Xenopus tropicalis: one gene and its partners. The protein of the gene in region 1 purifies or fractionates together with the protein of each later gene. This does not show direct contact. Links are inferred from orthologs where the notes say so. Each region holds a gene or a part of one and is shown on either strand. Other genes may lie near its edges. The genes, in order: ddb2, cops5 and cct7.

The links.
Region 2: the proteins of ddb2 (region 1) and cops5 purify together in Homo sapiens (affinity purification with mass spectrometry; 10 studies listed by BioGRID and IntAct, counting the BioPlex papers as one, with this or other methods). This does not show direct contact. The link is inferred for Xenopus tropicalis from reciprocal best matches to the Homo sapiens genes DDB2 and COPS5.
Region 3: the proteins of ddb2 (region 1) and cct7 purify together in Homo sapiens (co-immunoprecipitation; 3 studies listed by BioGRID and IntAct, counting the BioPlex papers as one, with this or other methods). This does not show direct contact. The link is inferred for Xenopus tropicalis from reciprocal best matches to the Homo sapiens genes DDB2 and CCT7.

The regions. Positions count from the first base shown.
Region 1 is NC_030680.2:15,450,462-15,453,354, forward strand, and holds the end of ddb2 (DNA damage-binding protein 2), read left to right. Parts: intron 1-376; coding exon 377-541; intron 542-960; coding exon 961-1,006; intron 1,007-1,372; coding exon 1,373-1,614; 3' UTR 1,615-2,363; downstream 2,364-2,893.
Region 2 is NC_030682.2:119,213,141-119,216,797, forward strand, and holds part of cops5 (COP9 signalosome complex subunit 5), read right to left. Parts: intron 2,487-3,657; coding exon 2,358-2,486; intron 2,280-2,357; coding exon 2,214-2,279; intron 1,681-2,213; coding exon 1,595-1,680; intron 1-1,594. UniProt on the Homo sapiens protein: Probable protease subunit of the COP9 signalosome complex (CSN), a complex involved in various cellular and developmental processes.
Region 3 is NC_030677.2:16,896,453-16,900,109, reverse strand, and holds part of cct7 (T-complex protein 1 subunit eta), read left to right. Parts: intron 1-371; coding exon 372-478; intron 479-3,055; coding exon 3,056-3,181; intron 3,182-3,492; coding exon 3,493-3,545; intron 3,546-3,657. UniProt on the Homo sapiens protein: Component of the chaperonin-containing T-complex (TRiC), a molecular chaperone complex that assists the folding of actin, tubulin and other proteins upon ATP hydrolysis.

The DNA of each region.
Region 1 (2,893 bases):
GAACCCCTCAGTGACTGCTAATATCCTTATCATTTACAGTAGGGGGTACATTATCCCTTATAATACATGAGTGATACTCAGAGTTCCCTGTATAACTCAGCCTGCAGCCTTGTGCCTTTATATGGGCACAGAACCCCCTCAATGACTTCTAATATCCTTGTCATTTACAGTAGGGGGTACATTTATCCTTCTTCATACATGATACAAAAAGTACCCTGAAGGAGTCTCTTTGCATGTTCCTGCAGTAAACAGACATTTTGTTCTAATAACCTGGTGTGGGTTTACGGGTGCCTGCCCTTTCTGTTTGCCAAGTTGCTCAGAATCAGGTAGTCCTTTACTTGCCTTTAATGTATTTTTTTTTTTTTTTAAATTTCAGGCCACGTGGCATCCTCGCTATGATTTAATAGTTGTTGGCCGATACCCAGACCCGCTCTTTCCAGGCTATATGTCAGATGAGCTTCGGACGGTAGATGTGTTTGATGGACAGAAAGGGAATATTGTATGCCAGCTGTATGACCCTTATGCTTCTGGTATTGTTTCGGTAAGGGTCCCACTTCTTCCATATTGGGCTCTTCATGGAAAGTGTCCACTTCTTTACCTTTAGAGGTCTCTTAGAAAGCCCTGATTGATAGGGGAACCTGGCAGTGTGGGAAGTACATCAGAAGAACATTGCCTACATTCGGTCTGTGTGAATGTTCATGTGACACACGCATTTCCCCCCAGGCCACCATGCTCCGCTTATTTAACTGGAAGGTTCTAGGTTAGACCTCTTTGAGTTTCGTAATCTCTGCACCAGGTGATCTCAGCCTTCCTACATTGCCATAGGTTCCATTCTTTCCTAAGTCTGGCCCTGCCTCTAGGGGTAAACATTCCTGCTCAAACCCCTCTAATAACCCCATTGCACCCATGCAGCTTTGGCCTCAAGTGAGTTGTTAACCTGGTTTCTATTTATCTTTCTAGCTCAACAAATTTAATCCAATGGGAGATCTTCTGGCTTCTGGCATGGGTGAGTGCACTATTGTACTTGTGGCCTCCATTAAAATAAAATAGGAAGTAGCTATATTGCTTATTGTAAGGGTATTATAACACAACAGGGGGCTGTGGGAGGGGGATACATTATTCCTTTAGAATACATGAGTGATACTCAGAGTTCCCTGTATAACTCAGCCTGCAGCCCTGTGCCTTTATATGGTCACAGAACCCCTCAGTGACTGCTAATATCCTTATCATTTACAGTAGGGGGTACATTATCCCTTATAATACATGAGTGATACTCAGAGTTCCCTGTATAACTCAGCCTGCAGCCCTGTGACAGCCAGGCAGAAAGCGGTTAAAGAAGAAATCTTCCTCTTCCCCCTATGATTTATTTTAGGTTTTAATATCTTGATTTGGAGCCGGGAGATTCTGTTGATGATGAAGCAGGAGGAGATGATGAAGGCTTTGAGGGAGAAGGGGGTTTCAGTGGGAAGGAAGGAACTTCCGAATTCCAGATTGCCACATTCCAGCGCTCCCAGAGAGAAGCCTGGGAATAAAGGCAGCACCACGGAGAGCAGCAAGACCCGGACTGTGAGGGAATCTTCTAAACGTGGGAAGCACAAAGACCCGGGCAAATGAACATAGGCTTCAGCGCCCAACTGGTCAACATTTCAAACATGGAGTATGGCAGCCAGCGCGATACCACATCCTTGGGATTGTTAGGTTGCTGGAGCCGAACCCATAGTGCCTTATTGCACTGCTTTATGTGTTTCAATACAAGGTTGCGCTGTATTTTCACATCCAGAACTTTTTCATGACTAAAATGATTTTTAGCGAGGGTCCCAGTATTACACCCTGCATCTCCGCTCTGACGAGTCCAGTCCAGTCAGTGAATTGGCTTAATCATCTGCCCCCTGCTGGCTTCTGGTATACATTACTATTTGCTTTCAGGGCATGGTATGTGTTGTCTTTCTATTTTTTTTTTTTTATATTATATATATACAAACAAAATAAATGTGGATCCATGTTAAAATGGATTCTCAAACAGAAGCGCCTGGGTGCTGACAGACTGATCATCCCTTGGAATCTTGGATTGCCCATGAGTCCAGGCCTTCGGATGAAGACCGCTGCACCAGTGGTTATTGAACAGTAGAGAACAGGATCATGGGATGGGCAACACAGATGTAACACATCCCCTTTATTCTTGCGTTCAGGTAAGAAGCCGGGGGACACCGTGGAACAAGTGAGACTGACTACCGGTGGGAACTATTGGCATGGCGGGGGCGGGGGGGGCTGATTCTGTTTGGGACATTACCATAGGAATCCTTTAGTTCTGAGGCCAAAAAGTCTTGAAGAATATGGAAAATAAATGTGACTTCCATCCTGAACCCTGTCTTCTTATGGTACTTGTTGGATCTCTTCAGGTCCGGAATAAAAAACAACCACCCACCTTTCTTCATAGTAATTGGACGTAATTGGCCAGATGTCTCACCTAGGATGACCATGGTCATTGTAGCTTAAACCTGCTCTGTCCATATCTATGCCGGTCCCATTACATTGTAGCCAATGAGGCTGGGAGGCAGTCTAGGAAGGTTGGTTGCTTTGAACTATTGCCACCTGGTTTATAATTCCTGCTTTATTCCGTGCCGTTCCAAACCCATTGTCTATGGGCAAGCAAAACATTAAAGGTTTTTCTTCGACTTATCATTGGAGGGGACATCCCACCTCTCCTTACACCACAATGGTGGTTAAAAATGCAATTATGGTATGAATGGTGGGGTACCTGCTCTGAAGGAGTCCCTTTCAATGAGTCAGTGGTACTACACTTTAAAAAGTGTCATCTGTGTCACCCCTAGCAAGTGCCAAGCACCCACCCAATTGCATTTTGCAAGATGCTGCCACCAGTCTGTGGGGAAAT
Region 2 (3,657 bases), on another chromosome or scaffold:
AGCTACATAAACCCTTTCTTGGGTTACTGGGAACGGAATACCCATGGGAGCTTAGGGAGTGTCTCCCTAAGATGGCGCTACACAGATGACGTGATTAGAGTTTGGAAGGATATACAGTAAGCAATGAGCTGTTTATAAACTTAATTATATAAACCAGATATGAACCTGGAGTTTACTTATAGTTCAAGCAAGGACCTAGAAGTTGTTTAAGAATCTTTTTCAAAAGATTGGTATGTCCAAGCAAACAGAAATCATATTCTTAAAGGTATACTTTCATGATTTTTATGGTATACTTTTTATTTCTAAATTACACTGTTTACAAATAATTCACTCAACCATTTAAAATTCTATTCTTGAACCAACAAATTTATTTTATTTTCTTAGTTGTAATATTGGTGTGTAGGCACCATCTCAGTGCATTGTGCCCGAGTCTGAGCTTTCAAAAGGAGCCAGCACTACACATTAGAACTGCTTTCAGGTAACCTATTGTTTCTCCTACTCCCATCCCAATCCAAGCTGGATTTATTACTATTGAGTGCTATTCTGATACCTACTGAGAGCTGCTATCTTGCTCCCTTCCCATTGTTCTGCTGACTGGCTGCTGGGGAGGGTGATATCACTCCAACTTGCAGCGCAGCAGCAAAGTGTGACTGAAGTTTATCAGCGCACAGGTCACATGGCTGTGTCTGGCTGGGAAATGAAGAATATGGCTAGTCCCAAGTGAAATTTCAAAATTAAATATAAATAAAAATCTGTTTGTGCATTTGAAAACGGATATCAATTCAGGATTCTCCTGAAGAAGCTCTATTAACTGATGCATTTTGAAAAAAAAAACCATGTTTTCCTATGACAGTATTCCTTGTGGTTTAGGAAAATTGTATGACAATCTATAATATGGCTAGTGCAACACGGAGCTGTTTCCTGGCCTGCGTATAAACACAGGCCTACAAACAGATGCTCTGCTGGTCTCTGCTCACCCCTCTGTCTGCATTGACAGGCACTTTTGTAGCCTAGGTGCAGACACACAGAGCAGATTTCAGTGCAAAAATGCGAGTATGCATTTTAAAATCCACTCTGTGCATCTGTACCCAGCTAACACAGTGCATATGAGTACAAAGGGAGAAGCAAGCAGAGGCCAATGGATGGAATGTTTTTAAACTGCCCCAGGTGGAGTAACATTTAGGAAGGTACCCAACACAAGACAAATGTTAGATCATAGCTACCTTCCAATAAAAAAATGACGAGCTTAACTAAAGACATTTAAATCTAGGGTCACAGGAGAGGAATTAAAAATTAACACAGTTTTTAGGTGCAATACCAATAATGTTACATACATCTAAGATACTAATGCATGTTTGGCAGCTATAAGGAGAGTGAAATAAAATCTAAGATACTGTAAAGCATACATTAATATATATACTCATGCAAAGATTCACAGCCTGTAATTGAACTGGATATACCATAAAATTGCTCTGTGCCCTGCCTATAAGCCATACTATGAAGCTTAGGACTCTTTTTTAAGAGTCTTTTTCTTAGCCTTGTAATTCCTTTTTAATATATTAGTTTCTTATGTTTCCACTACAAAATTACTTACTGCTTACAATGCACCCCAAAATCTTCTATTTTGTTCAAAGGAATCGTCTGGTACTCTGACGGACCCTCATCTGGAGGTTTATAGCCCTACAACAAGAAGGTCATCCATCAGAATTGCAAAACAAGGAGTTGATTTACTTTACTTTTTCCTGTTTATTTTTCACATCAGCTAAATGTTAAGTAAATATGTGTTTGAGTGAGTTGTAGCTCACCAGGACAAATATATGGCACAACCAAAAAAGGAAGTGTCATGATTTTGTAGCTACTTTCATATAGTGACAAGTATTGATTTTGTATCTTTTATGCCAAAATGTACTGGTGTCATTAAACCAGGGAAGGGAGTATGTTCATTTGCCATAAAGTTTTAGAAAGACATGTAAAACAAGGTGAAGGACCCTATGAATGTACTGAATTGAGTGTTTGCTACATGGACTATATATCCAGCAGTGAGGTTAGCCTGGAGTGGAACAGTGCATATTTTCATTGTTTGTGTGATCTGTCTCATATTTGGCTAAAAGCAAGTAGATGTAAGCCATAATAATCTTACCCTTGTTATATGCCAAGTAATGATTAAATTACAATTAAAAGTAATATGAAACTTAAATATCATTAACATTCACCTTTGGATATGTTCTGAATGCACCAAGATTAACTTTGCCAGCAGATATTGTTCTTGTTGGATCAATCTGAAGAAATGAAAATTGGAATAAAAAAACTTGTTGTATCAATAATCTGCAATGACGTTATAGTAATACTGTACTCACCACTACTGCAACAAAGGGTTCTTGAAACTGCTGATTAAGCATCTGGGTGCTGACATCTATGCCAGAAAGCCAACAGCCATAGCCAGGGTGACTGTGGTACCAGCCTATTGCATTTTCAAGTCTTCCAACCTGTGAAGAAAAAAAACAAGGATTGGCTGCCAAATTCTGTCATTTTATTTCAGGTAACACCAAAAAATTAAAACATCTTTTTATTTTTTTTTACTTTTAAAGTTTGTAAAGTATTTGTTGATATAGGACTTAAATATTTACAAGTTGTGAAGGCATTTGTCCGTTTATCTTTTTGAGTAAGAGCTAAACCGATTGCATTCTACAGAGTTTATCTGCTATATAGCCTGCAATTTTTTACTTTTACAGCTTGAATGGCTGCCCCCATGATCACACAGCAAGCAAATACACAGTTTTTACAAATGAAGGCAGCCGTACATTATATTTTAATTAGTTAAAAAAATGTAATTTGTTGGTATTACTGTTCCTTTAACACAATTTATAATACACTATATATATATATATATATATATATATATTATATATATATATATATATACACACAAACCAAGAGGGTTCAGCACTCCTTAGCAAGTGGCTAATTGACCCAGGTGCTACCGATTCAAGCAATTTCAATAGAGTCCACAGGTATAGCGGTGCACACTGGGAATCCTTTAAAAGTTAGCTTTTATTAAACTATATAAAACTTAATACATGGAGAAATAGGTCAACGTTTCGGCCCCCATCTTGGGCCTTTGTCAAGACCTTAAACATGTAACAACCATCAAAGCTATAAATAGATAAAAGCACAAACCCACACCCAATGGCACAAGTCATTCCAGTCATGTGTCAAAATTAAAAGAAAAGAAACCCTGTACCAAGGAGAAAACAATATCAAACACCATAAGGAGAATTATAATGAGCATACCACTGGCCATAAACTCCCATTGGGAGTTTATGGCCAGTGGTATGCTCATTATAATTATATTATCATTATATTATATATATATATCGAACCAAGGGTGGCACACCGCTTCAATCCTTGTCCCAGGTGCACGGTAAAAGAGTTTAGATATTGAAAAAAAGACCAGCAACACCGGATCTATTGCAAACAATCAATTATATATTGAAAAATACATATATAGAATATATATATATAATATATTCTATGTTTTTTTCCGTGCACCTGGGTAGAAATTGTTTGAATGCGGGGCATCTTTAAAGGCACAGATATTCCCTACTAGAGGGCTACTGTTGAATGTGTAATAAAGGATACCTTGTTCCAATTGAGAGA
Region 3 (3,657 bases), on another chromosome or scaffold:
GGGGGGGGTTCCCCAGGAGCCACGTTTCTGCCCTGGGCACTATATGGTAACTCACCTTGTGTATTAGGTACCGTACATGCGTGCCACCCTTCTGATTGGCCAGCGTGCAGATCCCTGTGCCATTGCTATACACCTACCTGCCATACATGCACTTTATTCTGGGGGCAGTTAGTGTGCGAGCCCTGCCTTAGAGGAATAGGGCCATCTATTGGCCATAGGGAATATCTGCATCGAAAGCCATAGGGAAATGATTGGTCTGACAAGCCTTTATCTGTCAGGGGTGCTGGGAGTTACTCAGGCTGCTGGGAGCTATTCAGGGTGCTGTAAGTGGGTGTTTAGTAATTCCCTTTATTTATTTATTTTTTCTTCAGGCAAAGCCACAATTTCAAACGATGGTGCCACAATCCTGAAGCTCCTTGATGTGGTTCATCCGGCAGCAAAGACGCTTGTGGACATTGCCAAGTCACAGGATGCAGAGGTGAATGTGCTAAACACTCAGGGCCCAGAATCTTTATTGTCAGGGTAATGTAGCAAATGGGTAGGTGGGATAGTGCGGCGGGGGGGGGGAGCCTTCCTATCAGTACAGGGATAGTGCGGCAAGTGAGAGAGCCTTCCTATCAGTACAGGGATAGTGCGGCAAGTGAGGGAACCTTCCTATCAGTACAGGGATAGTGCGGCAAGTGAGAGAGCCTTCCTATCAGTACAGGGATAGTGCGGCAAGTGAGGGAACCTTCCTATCAGTACAGGGATAGTGCGGCAAGTGAGGGAGCCTTCCTATCAGTACAGGGATAGTGCGGCAAGTGAGGGAGCCTTCCTATCAGTACAGGGATAGTGCGGCAAGTGAGGGAACCTTCCTATCAGTACAGGGATAGTGCGGCAAGTGAGGGAGCCTTCCTATCAGTAGAGGGATAGTGCGGCAAGTGAGGGAGCCTTCCTATCAGTACAGGGATAGTGCGGCAAGTGAGGGAACCTTCCTATCAGTACAGGGATAGTGCGGCAAGTGAGGGAGCCTTCCTATCAGTACAGGGATAGTGCGGCAAGTGAGGGAACCTTCCTATCAGTACAGGGATAGTGCGGCAAGTGAGGGAGCCTTCCTATCAGTACAGGGATAGTGCGGCAAGTGAGGGAACCTTCCTATCAGTACAGGGATAGTGCGGCAAGTGAGGGAACCTTCCTATCAGTACAGGGATAGTGCGGCAAGTGAGGGAGCCTTCCTATCAGTACAGGGATAGTGCGGCAAGTGAGGGAACCTTCCTATCAGTACAGGGATAGTGCGGCAAGTGAGGGAACCTTCCTATCAGTACAGGGATAGTGCGGCAAGTGAGAGAGCCTTCCTATCAGTACAGGGATAGTGCGGCAAGTGAGAGAGCCTTCCTATCAGTACAGGGATAGTGCGGCAAGTGAGGGAACCTTCCTATCAGCACAGGGATAGTGCGGCAAGTGAGGGAGCCTTCCTATCAGTACAGGGATAGTGCGGCAAGTGAGGGAGCCTTCCTATCAGTACAGGGATAGTGCGGCAAGTGAGGGAGCCTTCCTATCAGTACAGGGATAGTGCGGCAAGTGAGGGAACCTTCCTATCAGTACAGGGATAGTGCGGCAAGTGAGGGAGCCTTCCTATCAGTACAGGGATAGTGCGGCAAGTGAGGGAGCCTTCCTATCAGTACAGGGATAGTGCGGCAAGTGAGGGAACCTTCCTATCAGTACAGGGATAGTGCGGCAAGTGAGGGAACCTTCCTATCAGTACAGGGATAGTGCGGCAAGTGAGGGAACCTTCCTATCAGTACAGGGATAGTGCGGCAAGTGAGGGAACCTTCCTATCAGTACAGGGATAGTGCGGCAAGTGAGAGAGCCTTCCTATCAGTACAGGGATAGTGCGGCAAGTGAGGGAACCTTCCTATCAGTACAGGGATAGTGCGGCAAGTGAGGGAGCCTTCCTATCAGTAGAGGGATAGTGCGGCAAGTGAGGGAGCCTTCCTATCAGTACAGGGATAGTGCGGCAAGTGAGGGAACCTTCCTATCAGTACAGGGATAGTGCGGCAAGTGAGGGAACCTTCCTATCAGTACAGGGATAGTGCGGCAAGTGAGGGAACCTTCCTATCAGTACAGGGATAGTGCGGCAAGTGAGAGAGCCTTCCTATCAGTACAGGGATAGTGCGGCAAGTGAGGGAACCTTCCTATCAGTACAGGGATAGTGCGGCAAGTGAGGGAGCCTTCCTATCAGTAGAGGGATAGTGCGGCAAGTGAGGGAGCCTTCCTATCAGTACAGGGATAGTGCGGCAAGTGAGGGAACCTTCCTATCAGTACAGGGATAGTGCGGCAAGTGAGGGAACCTTCCTATCAGTACAGGGATAGTGCGGCAAGTGAGGGAGCCTTCCTATCAGTACAGGGATAGTGCGGCAAGTAGGCAGGTGTGGGTGGCGGAACCTTGTTTTCAATACAGGGACAGTGCTGCAAATGAGCCCGTGTGGGACCTGCTTTCATTACAGGGATAGTGCTCTGGTTTTGGTGTGGTACTGGGGTACAGGGATAGTGCTCTGGTTTTGGTGCGGTACTGGGGTACAGGGATAGTGCTCTGGTTTTGGTGCGGTACTGGGGTACAGGGATAGTGCTCTGGTTTTGGTGCGGTACTGGGGTACAGGGATAGTGCTCTGGTTTTGGTGCGGTACTGGGGTACAGGGATAGTGCTCTGGTTTTGGTGCGGTACTGGGGTACAGGGATAGTGCTCTGGTTTTGGTGCGGTACTGAGGTACAGGGATAGTGCTCTGGTTTTGGTGCGGTACTGGGGTACAGGGATAGTGCTCTGGTTTTGGTGCGGTACTGGGGTACAGGGATAGTGCTCTTGTTTTGGTGCGGTACTGGGGTACAGGGATAGTGCTCTGGTTTTGGTGCGGTACTGGGGTACAGGGATAGTGCAGCAAATGTTCCGGCAGGGAGAGCTCTGGATTCCTGCTGTTACCGAGCCTGTTCATGACTGTATTTTGCTGAGCTACGGTTGTGCCATTGCGCTGCTGATTCTGCAGAGGAACAGCCTGTATATAACTACATATTGTTTCAGGTTGGCGATGGCACCACCTCTGTTACCCTGCTGGCCGCTGAGTTTATGAAACAGGTGAAGCCCTATGTGGAGGAGGGACTCCACCCTCAGATCATCATCCGCGCTTACCGCACCGCCACACAGCTTGTGAGTATCCAATGGTATTTCTCTAGGGATTAGTGTTTTGTGCGCCAGTCGGTGGCACCTACCAGTGAGAATTAAATAGTATTTGTAAGTTATATAACTTATTTGTAAGTTATATAACTTAGTTATAAATCGGTGATTTTACTATGTCTTTTGGGCCTTATTTGAAGTCAGATGTTGTGTTTCTTTTTTTTTTTTACTCTAACCCAACAAGTGCAAATAGACCTTATTGGCCATCATATTTATAGTATTTATTCCCTTTGCCATGTGGGTCACTGCTTGGAATAATTAATCGTGTTTTCTCTTGCCTCCAGGCTGTCGGTAAGATAAGGGAAATTGCAGTCACTGTGAAGAAAGAAGATAAAGAGTAAGTATATGATATAGTTCCCACTAGACTATGCTCTTTATCAGAGTTCTGTACCTGGGAAGGTGCTGGGGGAGGTTGGATTCACTTACCCAGGGTGGGTTCTTGCCTTGTC